Linked DNA regions of Macaca mulatta. The protein of the gene in region 2 interacts with the protein of the main gene of each other region in a pairwise test. Links are inferred from orthologs where the notes say so. Each region holds a gene or a part of one and is shown on either strand. Other genes may lie near its edges. The genes, in order: CRY1, PER2 and CSNK1D.

The links.
Region 1: the proteins of PER2 (region 2) and CRY1 interact in a two-hybrid assay, tested with the Homo sapiens proteins (5 studies listed by BioGRID, with this or other methods). The link is inferred for Macaca mulatta from reciprocal best matches to the Homo sapiens genes PER2 and CRY1.
Region 3: the proteins of PER2 (region 2) and CSNK1D interact in binary tests that used the Homo sapiens proteins (3 or more experiments, as listed by UniProt). The link is inferred for Macaca mulatta from reciprocal best matches to the Homo sapiens genes PER2 and CSNK1D.

What each region holds. Positions count from the first base shown.
Region 1 is NC_133416.1:114,199,165-114,202,810, reverse strand, and holds part of CRY1 (cryptochrome-1), read left to right. Parts: intron 1-268; coding exon 269-409; intron 410-487; coding exon 488-799; intron 800-2,560; coding exon 2,561-2,712; intron 2,713-2,939; coding exon 2,940-3,142; intron 3,143-3,243; coding exon 3,244-3,336; intron 3,337-3,646.
Region 2 is NC_133417.1:143,533,674-143,538,026, forward strand, and holds the start of PER2 (period circadian protein homolog 2), read right to left. Parts: upstream 2,828-4,353; 5' UTR 2,390-2,827; intron 1-2,389. UniProt on the Homo sapiens protein: Transcriptional repressor which forms a core component of the circadian clock.
Region 3 is NC_133421.1:91,964,817-91,968,462, reverse strand, and holds part of CSNK1D (casein kinase I), read left to right. Parts: intron 1-1,495; coding exon 1,496-1,644; intron 1,645-2,231; coding exon 2,232-2,460; intron 2,461-2,846; coding exon 2,847-3,017; intron 3,018-3,577; coding exon 3,578-3,646. UniProt on the Homo sapiens protein: Essential serine/threonine-protein kinase that regulates diverse cellular growth and survival processes including Wnt signaling, DNA repair and circadian rhythms. It can phosphorylate a large number of proteins.

The DNA.
Region 1 (3,646 bases), on a different chromosome or scaffold from region 2:
AGAGATTGAAGGTGCTCTCAGCTTTCTGTTGGAAATTTGAAGGTAGTTTATTTCACATGAGTATGTGCTGCACAAGGATGACTGAAACAAAAGAATGCTCACTTTTTTATCCTGTCTTATTTTCTATTAAAACATGTAATTTGTGGCTAGGATAAGATTTTATTTTCCAAGAACGATGTAACTTTTTTAAAAAAAAATCTCCATTCTGAGCGTCCTTTTAAAATGAAAAAGACAATTAGTTAATGTAATTTTCTCTCTGTGTTTTCAGGCTTGGGTGGCAAATTTTGAAAGACCTCGAATGAATGCAAATTCTCTGCTTGCAAGCCCTACTGGACTTAGTCCTTATCTCCGATTTGGTTGTTTGTCATGTCGACTGTTTTACTTCAAACTAACAGATCTCTACAAAAAGGTATTCTCTAAAATTGGAGCTTATTGTTTAATACTTTAAAAAGCATTCTGATAATACTTCTTTGCTTTTTAACCATAGGTAAAGAAGAACAGTTCCCCTCCCCTTTCCCTTTATGGGCAACTATTATGGCGTGAATTTTTCTATACAGCAGCAACAAATAATCCACGCTTTGATAAAATGGAAGGAAACCCTATCTGTGTTCAGATTCCTTGGGATAAAAATCCTGAGGCTTTAGCCAAATGGGCAGAAGGCCGGACAGGCTTTCCATGGATTGATGCCATCATGACGCAGCTTCGTCAGGAGGGTTGGATTCATCATCTAGCCAGGCATGCAGTTGCTTGCTTCCTGACACGAGGGGACCTGTGGATTAGTTGGGAAGAAGGAATGAAGGTAAGTGTTCTAACTGATGTAGCATGCCTTATTTTGAAGGAATCCTTACCTTAATAAAACAAATCCTAGAAGTTGTCTGTTATATAGATTAATTTATAATGTAGTTTTTCAGTGGATAAAACATTTAATTCCCCAAATATGGGCACACTTTCAGAGCAAAAGGTGGTATAATCCGACAAGCAAAAAGGTGAAAACTAGTTAAATTGATTAACCTAAAGTCATTTTAATGGTTAAACCAGTCTAGCCACTAAGAGAACTGTAAAATTTAACACTGAATTTGTTGATAGATATAGGTGATATTTCTGTCACCAAAAGAATTCACTCAAGAGTTCCTAGAGATAGTGAATTCATATTATAAATTTTAAAACAGGGCCGGGCACAGTGGCTCACGCCTGTAATCCCAGCACTTTGGGAGGCCAAGGCAGGTGGATCGTGAGGTCAGGAGATCGAGGCCATCCTGGCTAACACGGTGAAACCCCATCTCTACTAAAAATACAAAAAAAATTAGCTGGGCGTGGTGGCAGGTGCCTGTAGTCTCAGCTACTCGGGAGGCTGAGGCAGGAGAATGGCATGAACCCGAGAGGTGGAGCTTGCAGTGGGCCGAGATCGCGCCACTGTACTCCAGCATGGGCGACAGAGCAAGACTCAGTCTCCAAAAAATAAAATAAAATAAATTTTAAAATATAAATCATTTCACCTCACTTCAACTTCACAAATTTTTAGTAATACTTCTATTATGTGAAAAGAAGCATACCACATTTTGTGACATCATCTTGTGGGTTACATGTAATAAGACTTACATACCTTGTTTTTTTTTTTTTTTGAGATGGAGTCTCGCTCTGTAGCCCGGGCCGGGGTGCAATGGTATGATCTCGGCTCACTGCAACCTATGCCTCCCAGGTTCAAGCAATTCTGCTGCCTCAACCTCCCAAGTAGCTGGGATTACAGGTGCCCACCACTGTGCCCAGCTAATTTTGTATTTTTAGTAGAGACAGGGTTTTGCCACATTGCCCGGGCTTGTCTTGAACTCCTGACCTCAACCCCCTGCCTCAGCCTTCCAAAGTGCTGGGATTACAGGCATGAGCCACCGTGCCCGGCCACTGTATACATTTTTTATGTTTCTGGCAATATCATACATTTGCCCCATCCAAGGACCATTTCTGAGCCTATGTGTGTGTGTGTTTTTTTTTAATCTCTTACATTTCCTAGTACACAGTTGTATATACAAAGACAATATATAACATATTTAATATATATAAAAATCATTTATTTTAATTATATTTTCTTTCTGATCAAGGAATTCAAAATTAAGCTATGCAGTGCTAGTATATACTTTTACATGAATTTATATTTGAGTATGCTTCCTTTATTTAGGCTAGTATACTAAGTTTTTGTTGGTGTTTTATGTAATAATATTTTTGCTTTCTTGAAAGTGGTTTACTGCTTTTCCTGTGTCTACTAATAATATCCTTTTAAATCAGTGATTTGAATTTTTTTTTTACTTCCATTCTCCCTGTAACACTGCAGAGGTTGGAAAAGTAAATTCTCTACAGAAGCATACTATATTACCACTATGTTTCTTTCCCTGGAAGAGCTCATTATAGAACAGAATATAGACAGGGAAGCTAACTTTGGAATGTTTAATTTTACAAGTCTGTGCTAGATTTTCTTTGCCTTGACTTTGGATCTACTGTGACCTTGAAAATGCTTGCTTTGCGAATTATATGTGTGCAAACTAATTGGTTACTGTTACTTCTGAAGGTATTTGAAGAATTACTGCTTGATGCAGATTGGAGCATAAATGCTGGAAGCTGGATGTGGCTGTCTTGTAGTTCCTTTTTTCAGCAGTTTTTTCACTGCTATTGCCCTGTTGGTTTTGGTAGGAGAACGGATCCCAATGGAGACTATATCAGGTAAATCAAGGGTGATTACTGCTCAATTTGGAATAGTTAATTGAAGAAGAGCTTTTCATGGTTAATCAATGCTTAAAGTATTCCCCACTCATGATAGGCAGCAGAGATGAGTAGGGCAAACAGATCATTTAAATGGTATTGATTTGATTTTGGTCTCTCATAGCTAGTAGTTGTTATAGTTTGCTTACAGTGCATTTTATTAGTAATCTTTCTTTTTTCTCCTAAAGGCGTTATTTGCCTGTCCTAAGAGGCTTCCCTGCAAAATATATCTATGATCCCTGGAATGCACCAGAAGGTATCCAAAAGGTAGCCAAATGTTTGATAGGAATTAATTATCCTAAACCAATGGTGAACCATGCTGAGGCAAGCCGTTTGAATATTGAAAGGATGAAACAGATCTATCAGCAGCTTTCACGATATAGAGGACTAGGTATGTTAATAACTGTCTTTGTTTCTTTGGCAGCTGTTTATATACCTGTCTTTGAATTTTATCTTGATCATAATTTAAAAGAAAATTCTTTTGTCCTTTAGGTCTTCTAGCATCAGTACCTTCTAATCCTAATGGGAATGGAGGCTTCATGGGATATTCTACAGAAAATATCCCAGGTTGTAGCAGCAGTGGAAGTAAGTGAAAAGGAAATTTCTGCACTTAGTAACATGACGAGGTTATTAAACAAATATATTTGTTATTGATCCTTACTAACATTTTATAAAAATCTATCTTTGAAATTAACTTAATAGATTCTTTGTATGCATGCATACATGTGCACTCAGACACATCTCTTCACTCCACTGATGACATTTTAGAGATGGAAAACATCATTCCGTATAATAGATGTTGGGTCAAGTTAAAGCTTTTACAAACTGAGGAGAGCAATTTTAAGGATAAAATGAAACTCAAATGTCATTTTCAGAATGCTTATTATTTTTTACT
Region 2 (4,353 bases):
CCGCGCTCTCCATGGCAACGGTTGGGTAACTGCGGAAAATGTGACCGCAGCCGTCCAAATATGGAGGGAAGGAGGTGCACCAGGGAGGCATTGTCTTGGCCTCACCAGGACACCTTTAATGCTCTCAATTCAGACTTTTAAATCCTTACATTTTTAGAACTACAAGACTTTACAGCAATAAGAAAGGCAAAAGTGTCAGCGGCTGAGCTACTCTGAATTGCGGGAAGCTGAGGCATCTGCTCCTCCTGCACCTGGTTTCTTAAAGAGCAGATTCTGATTCCTCTATGTCACCCCAGGAAGAGCACGAGGAACCCTTCGAGGCCGGTGAGGGATCAGCACAGCAGCCCACTCTGTCTTGGGAACTACCAGCCTCTGAAAACCAAGTGGCCTTGACTCCTGTCACCCGTCACTGCTGTTCATTTACTGCTTCTAATGTGCTCTAGACTTGGAAATATGGTAACAAACTTGTTACAAATGTGTACACGATGAGCATAATGAGTTGAAAGGAGGGCCTGGTCCCTAGGGGAGAGTGCCTGGGCTTGGGGAGGGGCCCATCAGAGGCCCCCTCTAGACTGTCTGATTCTCCCTTGGTTCTGAAGGTTGGTCAGCTTTCCAGAAGTGTGGGGACAGTCTCTGCCAAGCTTATGGAATTGTGTGTTTCTGGCTCACTCTGCCAGAGTAGTTTTCAAAAGGTAAAAGCACACCCAGAGCCTGTCTTTCTTCTGACTAAACGCCAAGTGGCCCTGCCAGCTGTTCAATGACCTGACAGAGCCGTGGTTTGCTGAGTCCTGGTGAAGTTACATCATGGCTTAAAAACAGCAGTGTGACGACCAGTATTTTTGAGAAAGTTCAGTGTGTATGAGAAATAGTGCACAGGAGAGGAATCTTTCCTTGTTCCTTGTAAGCACTGCAGATGTGGCTCACAGGGGAACATTACCTGGCCCAAAGGCAAGAGCATATCAGAAGCCTCTGTCTCCTGCGAGAAACCTGGGAAAAATCAACTGTAGGGTAACAGAAAATCAAAAACCTGGGAATTAAATTAGACCTCTGAGACTGCCCAATCTGAGTCCCTCCGAACAAATGAAACTGAGGCCCAGACTGGGAGCCAAGGCTCCCAGCAGCAGCCAGCTGGCTGACGCAGGGCTCCCCCTTCCCACCTGGCACTCCAGTCTCCACAGAAAGCCAGGGCTGCGTTAGTTCTATACCAATGAATCACACCAAGGCGACAGTGACAGATAACTGCAAACACCCACGGTACCATCCCCGCGCTGGCACACCACACAGCTTCCACTTAAAAAAAACAACGGAGTCCCTTTCTTCATTATAGTCATATAGCACACAAAACTCAATTCACCTTGTATTTTAAAACTCAATTTCCAAATAAAGCCTTCAGGTAGAGTCCTATTTTCTTCTCAGGCACACCCAGTCTGGGACCAGAAGCCCCAGGTCGGGGTAGAAGTTGGCATCTCCCCTTGGAAGCCAAGAAGTCTAGTGATCCTGCTGTGCCATATAAAAGTGAGAGGGGTCCAGGGGGGCTCTGGCCATGGTGTGGGGTTCTTAACACATTTCCCGGACTTAAGGCCCCTCCTCCCAAATTACAGCCCACCCAGGATTCAGCACCCAAGTTGAGGCCTTCACTGAACCTCTGAAGCTCATCCTGCCCCAGGGCGATGGGAAGATCCTGCAGACAGCCTGGGCCTGGGCCTCAGTTTGCTCATCTGTCAGGCTGAGGGGTTACTCTGGGTGATTTCAGGGTGCCTTCTGGCTCTGTTCTGTATGAATCAGCTTTCCAAACGGGTTCCTTCTGTGTAGGTTACAGAAACCCTGGCAACCAACTCGTCATCCCTTACCCTGGCCTTCCTGAAGGGGGAAGCAGGCCACCTCCCACCTCCTGGTCTATGTCTGGGACTTGGCAGCCAAAGTACATCCCAGAAGGTAGGTGCGACTGCTGCACCAAAGAGTGGACACCCCCATTCCTTTCTATCCAGTCCGGGGAGAGGGTATTAATACAGGGTGGTCCAGGGGAGGCAAAGGGGCGAACATCAGGCGGTCTCCCTGCCCTCAGGTTCCCAGGCCTGGCTTGGCACAGGGACTTCCTTGTCCCTCTGATCACCTATTCCAGGAGACCCGTGGGTGTCCAGGAAAAGCTCCTAGATCAGCGCCCTTCCACAGCCCTTCCCCAGCCCAGGACTTGGCCCTGTGGCCTCAGAGGAGGCAGTCAGCTCCCCGAGGGACCTCCAGATCCCAGGGCCGGCTGCGCTGACCCCTGATTTCCTTGGCCTTCCCCAGGGGAGGGGAGGGAGGGTTCCCAAAAGAGAATCGCCCACGGAACCGCAGCCCACGCGCAGTCACTCAGCAACTCGGTGCCCTACACACGCTGCCGCCTCACCTTTCGGACCTCAGGCTCCTGAGCTGCGAAACGGGGGTTCGAGTCCCCAACCCGCGGTGTCAGCGCAATTCAAACGAGCGCACCCTGCGCGCAGCTCGGCCGCCCTCCACCTGAGACAGGGCCAACGGCACACGCCCCCACGCCGGCGCCGTTTCAAGCAGAGGAGTCCAGCGGCCCAGGGAACTCCCGGCGGCGCCGGGACCCCGACCTGCCCGAGGCCAACGCGCGGGCGGCGGTTACGTAAGCCGCAGCGGGGCCGCGCCGCGCCACTTACCGCCCGGCCGCGTTCGCGTCGGCCCGTCCGCCGGTCCCTCCGCCGACTCGTGGCTCTGTCCGCCCGGACCCGCGCCCGCTGCCGCCGCCGCCACCACCGCCCACAGCTGCACGTAGCCCCTCAGCGCCGCCGCCTCCGCCGCGGCCGAGTCGCCGCTGTCACATAGTGGAAAACGTGACCGCGCGCGCCGCGCCCGCCCCCGGCGTCCGCCATTGGCCGCGACACCGTCTCATCTGCATACACGTGGGGCGGGGCCCACTAGCGCCGCGCGCCCATTGGTAGCGGTGCCCGTCGCTCTTTTTACATAAGACGCACATGGAACTCCATGTTCACCTCGTCGGTTCTTCAATGGAGATGCGGCGCGTTCTTGCCCCCCGTCGTCCTCCCTAGTGGTCTCATCCACTTCCGGCGTCGGCGCCTTCCATTCACGACGCCCTCGAGTCCGCCAGCTCCGGGAGCGCGGAGTGGCGCGTACCATTGCGGGCGGGGGAGCTGGGCGCGGGGCTCCTGTGCACCTCCGGCCGGCCTGGCCGACCTGGCGCCCCGAAGCCCGACCAGGGAAACCTCCACCTCCGGCCACCGGCCAGAGGCGCGCCCCCAGCGGCCAGGGCCGCGGGAAAGTCTGCGCAGCATGCTTCATTCACACATTCATTCATTTACTCATTCACTCATTCGTCGCCGGGCCCCAGAGCAGCCTAGGAGAAGGTGGCTGCACCGCCCTGCAGCAGCTGCTGGGGCACGCCCACCCGGGCCTCAGAGGTGCCTGTGGTCCACACTTGTCCCGGCAGTTACCACGTGTTACAATTTTTGGTTCAGGAAATAGAGTCACTGTTACTCTGGGGAGGTACAAAAGAAAGAAATGATGTTGTCTCTGCCCCCAAGCGCATCACTAGGGAGAAAGGACTGTCTCATAAAAAGGAAACTTAATCAAATGCTAAATTGGGCGATGTGGGCTATAAATTAACCAGAGCTATCCCCACAGGCTCCGTGAGAAAGGCAGCACTTCCAGGGCGGGTAGGATGGGCCCTGAGAAAGGGACACCTTAGGAAGGTGCAAGCGGTAGAGACGGAGAAGCCCGTGGTGGGAGGTTGTCCTGGGAGCCAGTGCGGCAGCGTGCATCACCTTGTCTGAGGGTTTGCTGTTTCAGTAAGCATTGTTTGGGGCATGATGAGCCTCTAAACTTCCATTTAAAGTGTCAGGAGAGAGAGTACAATTTCCCCTGGTCTGGGTAGAAGCCTGAGACTTACAGGACAGGCAGGAGCTTGCAGGCTCCCATGCAGCAGACTCTGAAAGTGCAGGCTCCCATGGGGAAGGCGAGATTGTCCAGGAAGCTGGAACCCGCAGCATCTCTCTTTACTCTTCTTGTTCTTCTTTACCTGGACTCGCCTGGGGACCAGGGATGGGACAGAAGGAAAAGTTATTAACCCACATCAGGAATTCCTGAGTGTGCTAACTCTTTCCCTTCTACTTGACAAGGTGTGTGTGCAACTTCTGATGCAAACCAGGGCAAATACCAAGTTCATCAGGGCAGCCCTTCCCGCAGAAGCCCAGGGAGGCCTGCAGGCTGTTCACACACTGTCAGGTGGCCCCTCCTCCTGTTCCTCTGACATTGACATCTCAACACACTCCCCGCCCCCTCTCCCTAACACAGACACACAGAAATGCCAAGCAAATCCAGGCCCGGTTGCGC
Region 3 (3,646 bases), on a different chromosome or scaffold from region 2:
CCCGGGAGGCGGAGGTTGCCGTGAGCCGAGATGGCGCCCCTGCACTCCAGCCTGGGTGACAGTGAGACCTCGCCTCAAAACAATAAAATAATGAAACAACTTTTTTAATGAAGTAAATTTCCCTAATGGTACCAAAACTTGCTGTAAGACTAAACTAAAAATCTGTCTTGCCATGGAAGGACATAAAAGGTTTATCCAGGCCGTTCATAAGCTGTATGTGTGTAGAGCCATGTGTATAGTTAAGGACCCAGTGCTGTGAAAACATACCAAAAAAACATGTTCTTGTGGATATAAGAAAAAAAATAGGACTGAAGGGCATATTTTGGGGGTGGTATTTTGAGAAACCCATCTGTTGCTGCAGCATTCGAATTTGACTCTGGCGTGAGGCTGCGGTGTGCGCTCCTGCGTGTTCCTGCACGCGTCTTTACCAGCACGTGTTTCCATCTCTCAGCATCTTCTTGTGGTCGTTGACTTTTCATACGTAAAGTCTTGGGTGAAGTGTCCAGGTCTTTCACCCATTTTTTTCTAAAGTAGATTTTTTTTGTTTTGTTTTCAGACAGGGTTTTGCTCTGTGGCACAGGCTGGAGTGCAGTGGTGCCATCGCGGCTCACTGCAGCCTTCATTTCCTGGGCTCAAGTGATCCTCCTGCCTCAGCCTCCCAAGTAGATGGGACCACAGAAGCGTGCCACCACACCCAGCTAATTTCCAAAGTTTTTTTGTAGAGACATAAGGGTCTCCCTGTGTTATTCAGGCTGGTCTCAAACTTGAGCTCAAGCAGTCCTCTCGCTCCAGCCTCCCAAAGTGCTAGGATTACAGGCATGAGCCACTGCACCTGGCCCGTGTGTCTTTTTAGTGTTGATTATGCCTTCAGCACTGATACTGTGCAGCCATCTGTAAATTCTTCCTGTTAGATTTATTGTGTCTGTATTCTCACTTCCTGATTTGTATATTTCAAGCTTGGGTTACTGTGTAAATCCCCAAAAAGTTTTCATTGCTTTTATTTTTCTCTTATCCAGTCAAATACTTCTACCAACATTGTAGTAATTGAACATATTTTCTTCTCTCACCTAACCCATGGTAGCTGCTTTCTCTCCTGCAGCTCCTCCCCTCTCCGGTGTGACGTCTCTGGCGGGCTCTGCTGGTCCTTTTCTGCCTGAGCTCTTTCTCTCCCACATCATGACTGTTTCCTGTGTCTGCCGCCCCCCTGCCCTAGAAGATGAGAGTCAGGGAGGTGGGGCTTCGATCCCCTCCTTGTCCCCTTTGCAGCTCCTGCCCGCTTGGCCCTCGTCCAACCTCTGCCTCAGGCCACTTGCTAACAGATGGGGCCTAATCTCGAAGATGGGTCCCTGAGGACCGGCGTTGCCGGGGTCTTCTGCCTCCATCACCCCTTCCCCGTTCAGGGTTGTCACCAGGACCCCATGGTGTGCACAGCGCAGACGTAGTGTGGAGCTGAGGCAGGGCCTGGACTGAAACGCTGTCTGATTTCCTCGCCTAGTGGGCATCCCCACCATCAGATGGTGCGGGGCCGAGGGGGACTACAACGTCATGGTGATGGAGCTGCTGGGGCCGAGCCTGGAGGACCTCTTCAACTTCTGCTCCAGGAAATTCAGCCTCAAAACCGTCCTGCTGCTTGCCGACCAAATGGTAAGGACTGTTTCCTGACACTTGGCACACACTTGCCGTCTGATGGAATCAGCCGCTCACTTGTGCTGTTCTCGCCATTATTACGGCTGTTAATTCACAGAGGAAATGGAAATGTGCTAAGCCTTAGCCTTGAGGCTCTGGTGGCTCAGCTGAGTGGCTTGGAGGCCACCCTCTCGGTACCAGCATAGCACGTTTCCATTCAGCGGGCCCCTCCGTCTCAGGAACATGCGTGTGATTCCTAAGCACCTCCGTGCAGCTTCTCTGCCAATCCTGGTGTGTAGCCTATGCGGAGAACAGTGCTGGGAGAGACCGATGTCTAGTGGCGGGTTGTCCCCTCTCTGTCGCCTCACCTCTCTATTTTGTGGGAGCTGAAGGCAAAGCACCTAGGCCCGTGGAGGGTGGAGGGTTGCTGAAGGCACCTGGGGGAACAATTTGGTCAGTTCGGCGTCCCCCTCACTAATGGTTAAACTACCCTGCCGTGGCTGAGGGGCAGGAACAGCACAGCCACTGGCACAGCGTCCTGCAGTTGAGCTGTCCCTCCCTGAGACTGCCCTGGGCTGCCATCTCGTGCCTTGCTCTGCTCGCAGATCAGTCGCATCGAATACATTCATTCAAAGAACTTCATCCACCGGGATGTGAAGCCAGACAACTTCCTTATGGGCCTGGGGAAGAAGGGCAACTTGGTGTACATCATCGACTTCGGGCTGGCCAAGAAGTACCGGGACGCACGCACCCACCAGCACATCCCCTATCGCGAGAACAAGAACCTCACAGGGACGGCGCGGTACGCCTCCATCAACACGCACCTTGGAATTGGTGAGCCCCTGGGCATGGGTCACTGACCTAGGGTGCCTTTGGGCATGTCCATGCCTCAGCCCAGGGAGAGGCCAGCCTCTTGGGGAGCTGGGGGTGCGAGTGTGTCGTCAGGGGAGCTGGGGGTGCGAGTGTGTCCTCAGACCTCTGCAGCAGACAGTCTGGCTCATGACTGCCAGGTGTATGGGGGCAGGCGGATGCTGGGATGTTTCTGAGTCACCTGTGATGTGTTCGGGAATTTCCTTAGTATGCATAAGGGGCAGCTCTGGGTGAGAGTGATCCCGGCGTGCGTGTCTGAAGCTCGTCTCCACTGGAAGTGCCAGCCAGGTCTTTTGCTTTGACGTGAGCACGCCAGTGCCGTTCTTCACGCCTTTCCCTTTTGTTTTCAGAGCAATCCCGAAGAGATGACTTGGAGTCTCTGGGCTACGTGCTAATGTACTTCAACCTGGGCTCTCTCCCCTGGCAGGGGCTGAAGGCCGCCACCAAGAGACAGAAATATGAAAGGATTAGCGAGAAGAAAATGTCCACCCCCATTGAAGTGTTGTGTAAAGGCTACCCTTGTAAGTCTTTGGAGGCTTCTTCTCAGTGGAGCTGCTCATGGGGGTTGCACGTGCGTCGGGCCCGCCTCAGGTGTGCTGAGACGGCTCAGCCTGGGTTTTGTCAGAAGAGTTGCTCCCCTTCCAAAGGGGTGGTGGCAGGAACGAGGGGTGCTTTTGTGTATGGTGGTAATAGCCTGCCCTCCTGTTCATCTTGACTTGCCAAGTGCCCATCAGTGTGGAGAGCACTTGGAGGCCCTGCAGAGATGGCAGGTGAGGCAGGCCTGAGCCTTGGGGTCCTAAGTGGCTGGAAAGGGATGGATGGGCAGTGGTGGGGCCTCTCTCTCTTTGCATTTGTAGGACTGCTCCAGGATACATACCTTAGATGAAACGAAATTGTGCTTTATGATTTGAATTGTTTTAAAAGCTTTCTTAAGGCCTAGAGTCTTAGAAACCTGCCAGGTGTTTTGTATCTGTCCTTCTCCCCTTGAGTGTGCAGCAGCAGGAGGTAGACGGCGACGCTGGCAGACACGTCGAGTCGCAGTTGGGTTTCACGAGTTAGCTTTGAGTTTCTTGTTTTGCAGCCGAGTTTGCCACATACCTGAATTTCTGCCGTTCCTTGCGTTTTGACGACAAGCCTGACTACTCGTACC